Linked DNA regions of Schizosaccharomyces pombe. The protein of the gene in region 1 purifies or fractionates together with the protein of each later gene. This does not show direct contact. Each region holds a gene or a part of one and is shown on either strand. Other genes may lie near its edges.

The links.
Region 2: the proteins of mkh1 (region 1) and skb5 purify together in Schizosaccharomyces pombe (affinity purification with western blotting; 2 studies listed by BioGRID, with this or other methods). This does not show direct contact.

Annotation. Positions count from the first base shown.
Region 1 is NC_003424.3:611,570-620,776, forward strand, and holds mkh1 (MEK kinase (MEKK) Mkh1), read right to left. Parts: upstream 5,707-9,207; 5' UTR 5,280-5,706; coding exon 1,929-5,279; 3' UTR 1,800-1,928; downstream 1-1,799. Other genes in the region: exosome 3'-5' exoribonuclease subunit Rrp6, read left to right, coding at 1-1,708; sro7 (Lgl family protein), read left to right, coding at 6,275-6,376, 6,424-6,853, 6,902-8,807, 8,851-9,207. UniProt on the Schizosaccharomyces pombe protein: May regulate cell morphology, cell wall integrity, salt resistance, cell cycle reentry from stationary-phase arrest, and filamentous growth in response to stress. Activates the MAP kinase kinase skh1/pek1 by phosphorylation.
Region 2 is NC_003421.2:918,872-925,198, forward strand, and holds skb5 (Shk1 kinase-binding protein 5), read left to right. Parts: upstream 1-3,762; 5' UTR 3,763-4,197; coding exon 4,198-4,620; downstream 4,621-6,327. Other genes in the region: yta4 (ATPase Msp1), read right to left, coding at 1-968; THO complex subunit Tho7, read right to left, coding at 1,584-1,815, 1,865-2,015, 2,072-2,290, 2,344-2,350; EKC/KEOPS complex subunit Cgi121, read left to right, coding at 2,551-3,075; XRCC4-like factor xlf1, read right to left, coding at 5,341-5,796, 5,910-6,065.

The DNA.
Region 1 (9,207 bases):
TACTGGCTCTGTCGACGAAACAGAACCTATCTGGGTTAGTACTGAAAGTCAGTTATCGGATATGCTAAAAGAATTACAAAACAGCAAAGAAATAGCCGTTGATCTTGAACACCATGATTACAGATCATTTAGAGGGTTCGTCTGTCTAATGCAAATTAGTAATAGAGAAAAAGATTGGATTGTTGACACCTTGGAACTCCGCGAAGAGCTTGAAGCTTTGAATGTTGTTTTTACTAATCCAAATATCATTAAAGTTTTTCATGGTGCAACTATGGATATCATTTGGCTGCAAAGAGATTTCGGGCTTTACGTTGTAAACTTATTTGATACATACTATGCTACTAAAGTTTTAGGATTTGAGGGTCATGGTCTGGCTTTTCTGTTACAAAAGTATTGTGATTATGATGCAGATAAAAGATACCAAATGGCTGATTGGAGAATCCGTCCTTTGCCTCGGGAAATGTTAAAATATGCTCAATCTGATACGCATTATTTGTTATATATTTGGGATCATTTACGAAATGAACTCATATCAAAATCAGCTGAAAGAAAAGAAAATCTTATGCAATCAGTGTTCAATTCCAGTAAACAAATATCTCTTAGAAAGTATGAACTTGAGCCTTATGATCCTATTTATGGACTTGGTACTGATGGCTGGAGAAATGTACTTACTAAGTTTGGCTCTTCTAAAATAATTGGACGGGAAGCTTTGATGATTTATCGAGCACTGCACGATTGGAGAGATTCCGTAGCCCGAAAAGAAGATGAAAGTGTTCGCTATGTGTTGCCAAATCGTTTACTTATTGCGATTGCCGCCAGTAAACCGGTTGAAGCGGCTGATGTGTTTTCAATTTCTAAGCAATTGACACCAATTGCTCGCATGTATGTTGAAGATATCGTTAAAGTCGTTCAAGAAGCCGAAAAGTTGTATAATGAGCAAGTAGATCGTGAGAAATCCCAATTTAAAGAAGTTGAGAAGCAAAATCAACCGCTAGCAGTTTTTTCCGAATCGAATACTTTGGGTGATTACAAAGTTGACTCCAGTGTTTTCGAGATTTCTAAACAAAATAGAAGTAAACTAAAGACTTTGCTGGCAAATGGATCTGCGTTTTGGATTGAGGGACAGTCGCAAGATGATTTACGGAAAGCTCGTAAAGAGAGACTCTTTATAGTGAACCAGAATATTCCTTTTTCATTAACTCTTCCTTGTACTCAAGGGCATGTTGAATCCGAATTGAATGTAAAGCAGTCCACTGTAACTGAAGCTGCAAACCCGAGTCTGAATGGAGAGAAGAAACAAGAGCCTATAGTCATTAGGGATTTAGGGCTGAACAAGCAAAAAAGGGATTCTTCTAAGCTTAATCATAAAGAACCCTCAAACCCCATAGAGGAGCGAAATGAAGATATTGAACCTTCGGAAGCTTCAACTTCAGTGTCAAAAAAACGGAAGCAAAAGAAGAAAAAGAAGAACAGCGGAAAACTTACTATTGAAGCCGAACATGTTTCTAATGACAGTCCAATTATCAATGAAGCACCTTTTGATTATAAAAATCAAAAGAATTTTATTGCTGACTTAGACTCTGATGTAGGAAAAAATAAATTTGGGAAACGGGGTTTTAATCCTCTTAACAAGGTAAGTTTACCAAAGCGAAATACTAGGGAACTCAAAAAAAGGAAGGTTTCAGACGGGAAGAGTACATCTTATTAATATCAGTTTTAATTTTAAATAAACGAAACAATTTTGACAAAATGAAAATTTACTTTTAAATACATTGTAGAAATTGAAAATGATCATGTATGTTTGTTTGTATAATAATGTAATAATTTTCAAAATTAATTTCAATATTAAATAAATAGCTATAAGAAGAAATTGAGAATGCATGCCCCTGCGAGGAAACGCTAAGTAATAAATAATAATTGCGACCAATTTAGCTCTTTCTTTTACAAAGCATGTCGTAAAGATTCGTGTCCTTAAAGTTGAATTCTTCGTCACATTTCATAAACGGGTGATTTAATAATTCCTCTGCGGTTGGCCTTACATCAGCATTCACAGTAAAGCATGCATTCAAAAATTGAATCGCTTCGGGTGATACCTGAGACACCAATTCACTAGGAATAGGAGGCGCCTTTTTCTCGGTACCTAACTTGAACATAGCTTGGATAGCCTCATCTGTAGACCACGGTCTACGACCAGCTAACATTTCCAACACTACACATCCCAAGGACCAGACGTCGACCTTAGCACTATATCCTTGATGATCATTATGAATTACTTCAGGTGCCATCCAAAAGATGGATCCTTGCATGGACAGGTTTGCGTCATTGTCATACACATTATCACTATGCTTAGATATTCCAAAGTCTGAAATTTTGCAAACTCCATCAAAATCAATGAGCAAATTGTCAGCCTTTAAATCTCGATGTATAATACCTTTAGAATGTAAGTAAGACAACCCGTAGAGCACCTGGCGTGATACAAAACGGACCAGTTGCTCTTCGAAAGGACCATAATTCCGCAAACATCGACCAATTGAACCACCTGAAACATATTCCAGGAATATACTTATATCCGTTTCCGTCTTTTCGAAACCCAGATATTGCACTATATTTAAGTGATCCAAATCGGCAATCATAGAAATTTCTGCATTAATGGAATCCACGATATCTTTGCGTAATTGGTCATGACGGCCATTAATAGTTTGTGGTATTTCAACTTGCTTTACTGCAATCAATTCACCCGTATTAATGTTCATAGCCAAAAATACCTTACCATAAGTACCATTTCCAATCAATTCTCCTTTCATCCATTTGAACGTGGCATTTTGTGAAACAACTGATCCAGAAGTTATAGTAGTATCTGGTTTTAGTTCTACAATCCTAGAGCCCCAAAGTTTCGTACTTGATCGACGTAGAAGATTTCCAGATTTATTGCGTCTCGCGTTATGTCGTATTTCTTTCCGAGCTTCAGATGCTTCGCGGGCTAATAATCGTACAGACTTCATTTTCGGACGTATCGATACCTTTGAAGGGGAAGAAACCATGCGGCTTTGGTCCACTACAAGTACTTTATCCAAATCATAACGGGGAAAAAATCGATCAACATCCTCATAAAGATCATCAGCAGATGGACGAACTTCCCAGTTACCAGAATTGATAACCTTTGAAGACGGTGGGGATTCACGAATATGTTTGGACTTTCTTAAACGATAAGATAACGGTGATAAACTAATGGATCTGTCATCACCTCTACAGTATTCAGGAGTTTTAGGCGAAGATAGTTCATTTGCTTTCAAATCCGTAGCAGCCTCTGTGTTAATGGAAAGTTTGGATTGAATGTTGTGATGATTTTCTTTAGGTACTTGGGAGGAAGATTGTTTGGGCTGTATAGCCCAAAAGGGATCCCCAGAAAGATCCGATTCGTCTAGTGCAGGCGCATCTTCAAAAGGTATTTCTGATAAAGCTTCCACACTTTCCTTTAATGAATTAGAAGATTTACTAGATGCTTTGGGGTCAAAAGACGTATGTGAAAATTTGCTAGCTTCGTTATGTCCGGTATCAATGTAAGGAGAGGACCGAGCGTGACGAATACTTGGTCTACGAGTCAATGTATTTTTTCGACGTAAACTAGATGTCTCTGTGGGTGGGGGTGGAGGATCTCTATGTGCCACAAAATTTCTAGTTAAAACAGAAGCAGAAGTATTAGATGAAGGACTTTGGGGAGCGGAAGAGCCGGAATTAAGTGGCATTTTCAATGTGACCTTCTTGTGAGGTCTACAAACGGTAAATTTGTTTTTTTCACTTTGGGCTTCAGTGGCATCCAAAATTTTTGTAGCCATTTCTCCTTTAGCACCACGGATTTTTTCAAACCCTCGAAAACGTCGAGATGGTAATTCTGGAACAACTGCCAAATTCGGTGCCGAACTAAAACCTTTGTAGTATTTATTATCAGGTTGATGCCCTGATAATGATAAATTAGGTCCTGCATCAGTAATTTCAAAATCCGAAGTAAGCACAGGGTAACTTGGTTGCTTTTTAAAATCTTCCTTGCGATGATATATTGAGTCATCATCAGCTTTATAAGTTGAACTTGATTTTGTGCCAAAAGATAAATAAGTATCACTATCCATACCCGATTCTTCATTTTGTGATGGCTTTACGAAAAATTTAATAGTTCCAAATTCATCAGAATAAAGCCTTGCAATATCAAGCTTTCTATCATCTAATATTTCTATGTATTGAGCCCCGCCGACTTCCGTGAGAAACAAATCAAACTGGTCAATTGAAATGTCTAAATACATACTCTTAGCTATTAGCTTACGTAGCTGAGTAGCATTTTGGACGTTGGTAATATCCACTACTGTGAATTTCATATCATCCATAGTAGCAAGAACAAATGACTTCTTTTTGGATATTAAACCAATTTGACTTTCTAAACGATGAATACGAGGTACCCACTCACCTTGATCCAAAGACGCGTCTAATGTTTTCACATTTGAAGAAGCTAAATGGAATGGGTTCGAATTTGAAGAAGGGCAATCTTTAGTTTTATCCTTGTCACGAGAAAACCCAGGTACCCGGAAACGACGGAGAAAGCTAGTTTGTTTTTCTTTATGTTCGGATACAGGTTGTTTCGACAATGTTTTTTTATTAATGTTTCTGCTGTCATCGTTAATTATTGAAGTGACAGTTCCTTTGTAAGCGTGTAAGTTTATAGGAGAGCCTTCCAAATTTAAAGAGGTTGTTTGATGGGAGTTTTTTCCTGTGCTCAATAGCTCATTGTTGTCGACTACTGATCCACCGAAGCCACCAAACACGTTCACATTGCTATCAGGAACACTCTGAAAGCTTTTGAGGGACGAATTTTGATTTGAAGAGCGGAAACCAGAGTTAGTTTCTGTAAAAACGTCATCCGAACTATCTTTGGCGCTGTAAGTTAATGTTTCGTAAGACGAGTTTTTGCTAGGTACGCGAGTCGAAGAAGGTGCTAAAAGTGTTTTGCGAATACAGCTACTCAATTGGATGGCAGACTCCTTGCTCAATTTATTTTTAAAGGCGAATTCCTCGGCTTTTGATTGATCGGCCAAATTGATAAATAAATCCATTTCGATTCGACTTTTAATAAAAACGTCTTCCCATTCTTTGTTAAATTTGTATAGTTTTAAAAACTGAAGTACACTGTTAAGTGACCAATCTTGCTTATCGACATTCTGAAGATGAAGAGACTGTTCAAACCGTTCTTCCAAAGAGCCTGATGACTGCGATCCGATATCGGCAGCCATATACCCAGAACAGTATTAGTTACTTTGAAAAGAATTCAAGATAAAAAACCTTTTTTTTGTCAAACGAATTGGAGATTGCTGCTTAAGTAGTTTATGATTAAAAAAATTAAGATTCGGCTGAAACGAGTGAACTAATTTGCAAAAGACAGACTTGGGATGTTAGTAATAGCCCAATTTCTTGCAGGTAAATAAAATATTAAGAAAGGAGAGAAATGTTGAATCACTAGTACTCAGGGTTTAAAGATATTGCAAAAAGACTTCCCATGTGTTTTGACATGCAGCCCGTATGATACCGCCAATTCCACAGAAGCCTGTTAGAAAATAATAGAGAATTAAAAATAGATACTTTATCAATGTAAAACTGATATTTCGATTCTATAAACCTTCACGGGTAAACCAAGCAATCTCCAGCTTGGTGTCTGGCTTTAGGCCCGCTCAAAATCGCTTGCGGTTTGACTAGTGAATGATGCAAAGTCGAATTCAGTGCTATAAGGATAAAATTAGAAGTCTCATTATTTGTCAGCAATACTACATTACGCTATGATACACTACGTTGTGTATCACTATATGTCATATGTTGGAATACTAGCTAAGATCCGTTTATTGATAATCACGGGTAACTATCCATCTATATACTAGTTACCAGTTGATAACAACTATTTAGAAATATTATAAATAGCGTTACAACTGAACCTCGTTCCTCAGTTCAGTTATGAGCTATATTAGTGATAGGTAACATTATAACACAGTTAATACAATACTCAGTTGCTACTCATACAACCTGTTTATTGTAATATAATAGGTTACAAGGAAAACTCACCGCAGTTTACGTATCCTTAAATCAGATACCAAACTGCGTAGCTTACATTATTATTGGTTTAACGGCACAAGACGTTATCCAAAAATAGCGTTCTCTAACACGAGTTGAGCGTGAGTTTGTATATGCTACGAGGGTATAACATGATTAGTATATTTATACCAAGAATTGGGAAAATATGAGCTTTTTTAAAAAAAAGCTAAGTAAGGGAAAAGAAATTTTATCCAAATCCAATTTGAAGACCCATACGTCTTCAAATGCTTCACTATCGATAGACGACGTAAGTAGGGAAGCAATGCTTGTTGAATGTTTAATAACAAAGATTAGTTGAATCGATTTGGGTTTTCCTTAAATCCAGTATTATGGTGTTTAGACCATCAACAAGGCTTACTAGCTATTGTATCTAGTACTAATCGGATATACATTTACGGTAAACAGCATGTCCAGAGTGTGATAGTTCCAGACTGTTCAACCATTGTCCATATAGCCCTTTGTGCGGCGTATTTGATTGTAATTGACTCTCGAAATACGGTCTTAAGCTATCCCTTGATGAAACATCGTGACCTTTCAAAACCAGCTGCCACTTACTTTCTCAAGCAAAAAGTTACATGTACCGTAACGGATCCTACTATTGATTGGGTTTTTTTTGGAATGAGTGATGGCTCCGTTGTGCCATGGGATGTTACTAGACATTGCCTTGGAAAATTCAAAGTTCCAAATTTGTATGTCCCAAGACACGAGGAATGGCGAATGATGGGTACGTTGAGGTCATTGTTGTTTATTTGAATTTATTACTAATTTTCAGGCTACTCTTATGCACCAGTTCCTGGAAAGCTATCCCCAGTTGTAAGCGTTCAGATTCACCCGAAGGATCTCGGTGTGATTTTGATTGCATATCCGGATGGCGTTGTTTTGTACTCAATAAGGACTGACGAAGTTATACGCTTTTATGAATTGGAGTATGCACCAGGTAGTACAGCTGCAGTTTTATCACCCCATAATTATCGAAGACCTATAGTCAAAGGGATAGAGTGGAGTCCTTGGGGTGATCACTTTGTTAGTTACTATACTGATTCGACTTTTGCATTCTGGGATGTGGATCAAGAATATCCTGTACAAGTCCGAAATTTTGTCGATTCAAACATACACACGTATACCCCCATGCAGAGAAATCCTCCTAAGACGGAGCTTGAGCCCATTAGGTCTATGAGGTGGTGTTGTTGTGAAGACCCAACAGTTTCATTTATTTTGATGTTAGGTGGTTTGCCGAAAGAAGCACCGGTAAAGGGAATTTCATTGTTCAGTTATCGAAATCTCCCTGCCAAAAAGGATGTTGAAACATTTGCGGAATTTTTCGCAAATCCAAACTCACAACGCTTTTTTCCTTTTATTGACATCCCCCCTGTACGTGATATGCTGGTGATTCCTTCTAGCTCACCACATTACAATGGATCTCATAATCCCAAGAATCTTCTCCTTCTTTCGGAAGACAACTCGTTATCGCTGCTCGACATTTCTACTGGAAATATTTCAAACATGAGCCTTTCTATTCCCCCCTCTTTATGCTTCCTTGCTTCAGATTTTCGAGTTATAGCATTTCAAACTGTAACAAAAAAAGTTTGGAATCAAATTGAAGATACTATTTCCGTTAATTCACATTACTCCTGTCTTTTTGGCGGATCTCCTAGTCCCGGCTATCTTAAGAAATTAGATGAGCGTAATCTACTTATAACATCGACTGGTCTTAGTTTATCGATTTGGGATATATCTCAGGGTTTTATGAATCCATCTCTCTGCGTAAATTTGGATTTCTCTTCTGTAATGCGAAAGCATCTCACGCCTTCAGCTTTTATAACTACTGCCTCTTTTTCCACTTATAATCCAGAATTCAGTTGTGCTGATAGTTTTGGGCGTGTCATTGTTTGCAAAAGGAAAAATCATAAAGAAAATTTACCAGCTCAGCTCGCTAACGGAATATATCGTTTGGACGATACCTTAGTTCTAGAGGGAACATTACATGCTCAATATTATATTGATCTTAAACGAGGAAGAGTAACATTGAACCAAATGAGCAATATTGGTTTTGTTTGTATAGGATATCAGGATGGTGGAATTACAATCATCGACATGCGTGGCCCCCATATACTGTGTAACACCAGCATCTCGGAGCTTGGATTAGAGAGAAGAGGAAAACCTGATCCCGATTTTCTTACGAGTGCCGAGTTTGTCGTTATGAACCCTAAAGGAAGCCCTTCCTCAATCTACGTAGTCACAGGAACATATAGAGGGATGACACTTTTATTCCGTATAGACCCTTCCTCTTCAGGGCGCTTTTCTGCTTATTTTGAATCATCTCGACAATTAGATATTAAGAACATTTATAAAATATGCTCTTTAACTCAAGATGGCCAGATCGCGACAGCCACTGGATCCTCATTACAAAGCGTTGGATATCCCTTACCACAGGAAGTTTTCCTCGTGTATATTGGCGATTCAGGAATTTCTGTTTTTAATAAAATTAATAATCAAGTGGGTAACCTGGATTGGAGAAAACCTGTTTGTTGTCGAGCAGCTCTTGTGCTTTCTACTGTTTCCAAACACATGGGTTCCGTAGTTTGCGTAAATTCTGATCTTTCGGTGAATTGGTATTCTCTCCCAAACCTTCGTGAGGAACGTAAAATGCAACTTCCATTGGATATTGATAAAAATAGGTAAGGTGTTTACTTGAAATGAATTTGCTAACTATTCCATTAGGCTCAAAGAAGGTGATATTCTAGGCAATGGGGATTATATTTTCCCAACGTTAGGAGCACATGAATTAGCCTTTGGCTGTGTTTTAGGAAGTGGGAGAACATTGGCGAATTTGGCACCCATGATGCTTATTACTCACAATGCTTCCCATGTACCGCCAAGACCTAGTAAATCCTTGTGGAATTGGTTACTGGGCGAACAGTCTACATCTGCTGAAGAGCTAGATATCTTACTCGGAGGTGAAAACAGGGCTGAAAGTAAAGTGCATACTTTAGAGACTCCTAAAGTTATTTCAGCTCGCCCAGCAGAATCAGTTAAGCAACCACTGACCCCGGTTCCTTCCATGACTTCTCAGTCTGC
Region 2 (6,327 bases), on another chromosome or scaffold:
ATTGCTTCCAAATCATTTCCATGCTTGTCAAAAAGCTCTCTGCGTGGAACTGATAAAGCAGATCTACAGACTTCCTTGATATATGAGCCAGACAGTCCAGCAGTGGCATTAACAACTCCATTCCAATCAAAGTTCGCTTCTAACGGTACCTTTTTTAAATAAAGTTCTAAAATCTTGCGACGCTGTTCGGCATTTGGAAGAGGTATGGAGAATACTTTAGGCATACGACGCCGAATGGCCTCGTCGATGTCAGCTGGTCGATTAGTAGCACCCAAAACAAGAACCCGTGACTGACCACTCAATAAACCATCCCACATCGACATAAATTCAGCTTTAATTTGAGCCATTGCTTCATGGTCTGTCCTTTGGCGTTGCCGCAAGAAAGTATCAATTTCATCGATAAATATTATAGTAGGCTCAAGCTTACGAGCTAGTGTGAATAATGCGTCCACAAGCTTGTTTGATTCACCGAACCATTTGTCTGTTAAAAGGCCCACACTCACATTTATAAATGTAGCTTGACTTTGCTTGGCTAATGCTTTAGCTAGCATTGTTTTACCACATCCAGGAGGCCCGTACAAGAGTAAACCCTTTGGACACGACAAAAGTCCGCCATGGGTGTCAAACACTTCAGGGTATTTTAAAGGAAAAAGTACATCTTGCAAAAGCTGATTAACATGTTCATCCATACCTCCAATATCATCAAAGGAAACATCGATTTCGCTGGGTAGAACGAGCTGTGATGCAACAATCTGCTCATACTCATTTAATTCCAGAGTCTCCAATTCCTTGACTTGTTCCCCAGCCCACTCATCAAGTCGCTTACGGCTTTTGGAAACTGTATCCTGCCTTTTTTGTCGATACGGATCTAAAGTAGACAAAAGTTTATGTGCTGCGTACCAAGAGCAACCAAATGCTAAGGCATAGACAACGATCTCTTTAATTGCCCTTTTAGTCGTCGGATTCATAATCAATTCCCCAGTAATAAACTTCAAAATGCAAGCACACAAAATTTTATGCAGTAAATTTGTCTGGTGGCACGCTACTACTATTGGGGCGGTTGGTATGTTCAGCTAAATGGGTAAAGAAGATATACAAAGTTGATCGTACTTTGCTACATTGTTTGGAAAATATATTCATTGAAAAAATTATTTTTAAATAAAAAATTTTCATTTTCCTAAAGAAACAATCCCAATGGTTTCAAAGCGCAGTTATCAATTATCAAAAGTGGTAATGTAACAATAAATATTTACTCTCTGTGCCAAAAGATTTGGTTATAGATGAAATAACAATTAGTAAACAATAATAATTAAGCAGAGATTTTTTCTGAGTAAATAACCCATTGAAAAATGAGAATAAAAATGGAGCGAGAAACCTTTTAGGAGATTTGGATATACTTATAAATATCCAAAAGGGAACCTAACGGAACTATATACAAAACAATAAAGGACATATCAAGACTAAATCGCTATGCCCGTCCAGTGAAGCTCACTGTTTAACATATCCTAAACGGAAAAACCATTCCTATCATTCGTAAATTCACGAAAATTTTTAAATTATATACAATTTTTTCCTCCTAGGATTTATTTGGCCTTGTATTGAGTCGAACTTGACGACGAAGGATTTTCACCTTCACTAGCAATGCCTTCTTCTGAATCAGATTCGGGATTACTAGGAGGATGCAATATAGACTGTAGGTGGTTCATTTGCTTTAAAGTTTCATCAAAAATATCTTTTCTCAAATTCCATGCTTTTACATAATTCGCGTTTTCTTCTTCTAACTCACGAATAGCATCTTGCAACTTTCCTATTGATCTGTAAACCCGGTCAGTCTAAAATATTCAATATAAATCTGGAAACTTACTCTTGTTGTTCTGTTCTTGATCTCAATCCTTTTGACATTATTGGCTTGGCCAACTCGTCGTATTGTTCACGCTTTCTTAATTCTTCTTGGGCAACTAGTAAATCTTGCTCAAGCTGGCTTATTTCGGTTTTTTCTGCTTCACAAAATGTTTCTGAAAATATTAATAAAAACATCACTGTACTTAAAGTTACGAATTTAATCACATACGAGTCTTCTTCAGTTCTCCTTCGTAAACATCCACTTCTTTAGCATTCATGTCTAATTGCATTTGCAATCGAAGCCAAAAAGCAGAGAGAGCAGAAAATTCAATTTCTAAATCCCTTAAGTTTGCTTCGTCTACATTTTGAGCAGCAAAACCAAGACACCGACTAATCAACCGTTTCAAAGGCCGTTCTTCCACAGTTAAGCGCGATCGAATCGCCGTCTCTGACATATCGGTTAACTTAATATTTTCAAAAAAAAAATTATTTATAGCATACCCTCCATAATGAATTGAGTAAAAAAAAAGCAAATTCACTATACAATTTAGTTGGGCGCTAAGTCAGTAGCTGGAGTGTTCGGAGTTTTAGTCACCGTATTTTACCGATGTTTACCGGCAAAAAGTTATTAGTACGATTATTACCTAAGAAATGTAAAAACGCTAACAAGGATTGCAGTTTGATATTGCTATAGAACAGGCGGGCAAAATGATTTTACCTCTTTTTCCAGAGACACAAGTTCATGTTTTTGTATATGAAAATGTTTCTAACTGTGCTGCGATTCATGAACAACTAATAAGCCAGAATCCCATTTATGACTATGCGTTTCTCGATGCCGCTACTATTCTATATAAAAAGCAGGTTTATAGCGCTATTATTAGGGCTCTCGAAGATAGAAGGGACGAACAAATGAAAACTAAGACGATTCACTCAGAGGTTATTTTGTCATTGTCCCCAAAAACCGAAATTTCTAGTGCGTTCCGACAATTCAGCATGACAAAAAAATCTAAAAACATTGTAGTGGTAAAAATTGATAGCAAACTTACAGAAGAAGAAGAATTTGAGCGCTTGGACAAACTTGTGGAAGGTAATAGGGTCGAATTTTCTGACGAAGAGTTACAAAAATTAATAGACTTCAAGGTGTTAAAAAAGAATTACAAATTGGATCCCTCTACGCTTGAGAATCCTTTGGCCTCTATATTATCTTCGATAGCTCTACGTGGTTATTCTTAAAAACATATGTTCTAGCAAATCTGATCTTTTGTCAATGTTTCACAATTGATTTGACTATTTTTCTATGCGGCTTGAATGATAATGATGAGAGTTCCAAATGGAACGTTGTGTGGATTCTTCTATTCCTTATAATTTTTTCCTCTCTCAAATGACTGTACAAACTATTTAGCAAGCACCTACATAATCAATTTTTGATTTACGAATTGGTAAAGGATGGCACGTAAAGTTATGCCCTCTGGTTTGGTTCAGTTTTATGATCTCTTGACAGTTTTACTAAAGTAACTAAGGGCATTTCATTACGATTATCTGTTTCGATACTTTTACCTAGGGAATGCTTTAGTGTTATTTGACATCATGTTTTGTTCTTGTGCAATATTTTTTGCTCAGGTCTATTGGCGATGAATTACTATATGGTGGATCTCAGTGCAAAAAGTTTACCATTATGTGAATAGTTATTAAAAGTTTAATGGGATTATAAATTAATGGGTTTTTTATTGCGCACCTTATGCTCCTGTTATAAAGAAAAGCAGGTCGCAAAGGTAAGAACTATTTTTATACAACAATAAAGGTTTTTACATCGTATGTTTTACAATTAACTGGCAGCTCTTTGTCAAAATTGTTTATTTACGGATTTAACTTGCCTTCTTGCGGTATTGACTGCTAAGCCGGAATTTGTGATATCAAGCCATCCGTTTCCCAGTCACGCGAAAACTCTTCCTTATGGAAATTTCATTTTAACAAGTACAAATCTGTTAAAACTACATTCATATAATCATATGCAGGCAGCCGATTAGAGAAAAACTAAATTTCTTAGGCAGAATTGTCATTATCCGTCAATACCGCGTTTTTTTTATTTTCCGCTTTGATTTTTTTTATCATTCTTTTTGGTTCTTTTATTTTTGTTTTTATTTGTTTTGTTTTCTTTTTTTCCTTTTCAAAAGTCATTTGAAGACAAAAACTCAACGTTGAAGAGAGCATTTGTTCATCTGTTGACTTTTCGCCAATACACCTGTTTTTTTATGGACTTGCTAAGTATAGTGTAAATTTAACGCTGTCGTTGATCCGTATGATTTCTTTTGATTAATTTAAATCGTTATATGTGACACTAGCAATTTTTGCTTCATGGCGGAAGAGACTGAAGAGGATTATTTAGTTGTGGGTCGTGATTACTTGTACCCCCCAGATCATGAACTGCACTATGGGTTTCATGCTCGTGTGATTGAAGAGGAGGAGGAGCGATTTGTAGATGATACCTTTGATGAAACAATCGAAGGATCGGATGACTCCGAATCAATAGATGATACGGAAGTATTTTACGATGCTGAAGAATCTGAAAGCACTCACCCTTCTGCTTCTTTCAACGTCCTTGCTGACGCCGTTGCGCTTTATGATTTCGAGCCCCTCCATGATAATGAACTCGGTTTTACTACTGGTCAGAGACTTTGTATTTTGTCGGAATCCAGCGATGGTTGGTTGATTGCATACGATGATGCCTCAGGAAGAAGCGGGCTTGTTCCTGAGACGTTTGTTAAATTAGAGGTATAAAAGAGCGTTGAATTGAACCCTTTTTACTTTTTCTTTTTGTCAAATTGATTTTAAAATGTTATTCCTTATTTTATGTTCCAAGATTTTCTGGATCCTCTCCTTTATATATAAGAATCCGAAGTGTTACGGGAAAAAAATTCGGATTGTCACGCTTCTTATGAATATTATTTAAATGTACGCCTTTAAAGCAACTATCATACAATTCTCCTTTGGGTAAATAACTAACCTTGGGATGTGTCGTAACTTGGGACTTATTTTTGATTTGTTATAAGGATGAAATGAATGTTCTATCTTATGGACCTTACAAGAAAAACTATAATATTGTCAAATATAATCATATGAGATGAGTTAAGCTACATAAAACTCTTTGAAACTTTATTTTATATTATTGCAACCTTCTAATAACTTTACATCTTCTTATCCAAAGAAGAAGGGTTAGAATGTACCGTGTTTTACGGAAGTTCCATTCCCGTAGGGTTACAATGTGTTGCTAGAATAAACCGTAAGTCATAGTACATATAGAGGCCAATTCTGTAAACTTTTTTAAAGTCTATGGAAAACCCTCTATGTGTCTCCAATAGAGAACGGACATCTCTTTCTGATTAGTATATACGTTTTCATAGTCTCTTCATCCTGAGGTAAATTGTACAAAACGCTGTAGTTAAACATGTGATCGAGTTAAATAGATATCTTCATAGTTCAATATACCATTAGATTTTTTTAAACAAAATCATAACGAGTACGAGGTCGTTTTGGAGAAATAATATCTGCAAATGCTGAACGTTTTCTTGGTGTGGAAGGATTGGAAGACGAGGATCTTTCATTTAATGCTTCCTTGAACCAAGTCTTGTCATTCAATAAAGACTTTTGATCACGAATAATGGACATTAACGATCCTGGACTAGTGTCGGTTTCTGACTCGAATAAGTGATGATTGATAAGAGGAAACCATACCATCTTGGCAATCGTCTCTGGTGGAGTAAGCCAAAGGGTCCAATTCCATTCTAAGAAAATATCTTTAGCTATTTTTGAGGTACAGAAAATTTTTAAAGATCCCTCGTCATTTGAGCCTCGTAGTTGAATTCTACTTTCAGAAGAAACATTCACCAGCACTTCAGCCAGTACATCGACTAACGTTTCAAACGTTTGAAATGGATCGATAGGACATCTTTCGCTCTGTTTAAAAGTTAATATAACTCTTGGTTGAGAGAAAGGTGTTAATTTGGTTGCATTTATAACTGCTTTTCCCCTGAAAGCATAGTAGCAATGTAGTTGTTAACTAATCTTACCTCTGCCTGATTGACGATTTGATTGCGGCTACATGTACAGGACCAAACACGCACTAGGTCTGTAATATGAATGACTTGTACAGCCTCATTACTTTCTGCGTCGAAGCTAGCCTGTATAAAATGAAACCTGTGGCCACGTAGCTGCACCCAAGACATCAAGTATAAACAAATGCAATGTCTTGTTCAGTATCTCAAATTGATTATAACAGCAATTCAATTGAAAATATTAAAGCTAAATCACTAAAATAGAAGAAATAAGCTCAGCAATGGTCACAGTTGAGAATTCGAGTTTGCAAAGTAGTATTGGTATTGATGAGAAAATTAAACAACCGATATATGCCAGAGTAAACAATAACTATGCCAAGTTATTCTTTAAACTTTAGAATGTGAAAATTAGATCAATTGGAATGCTTTTGTA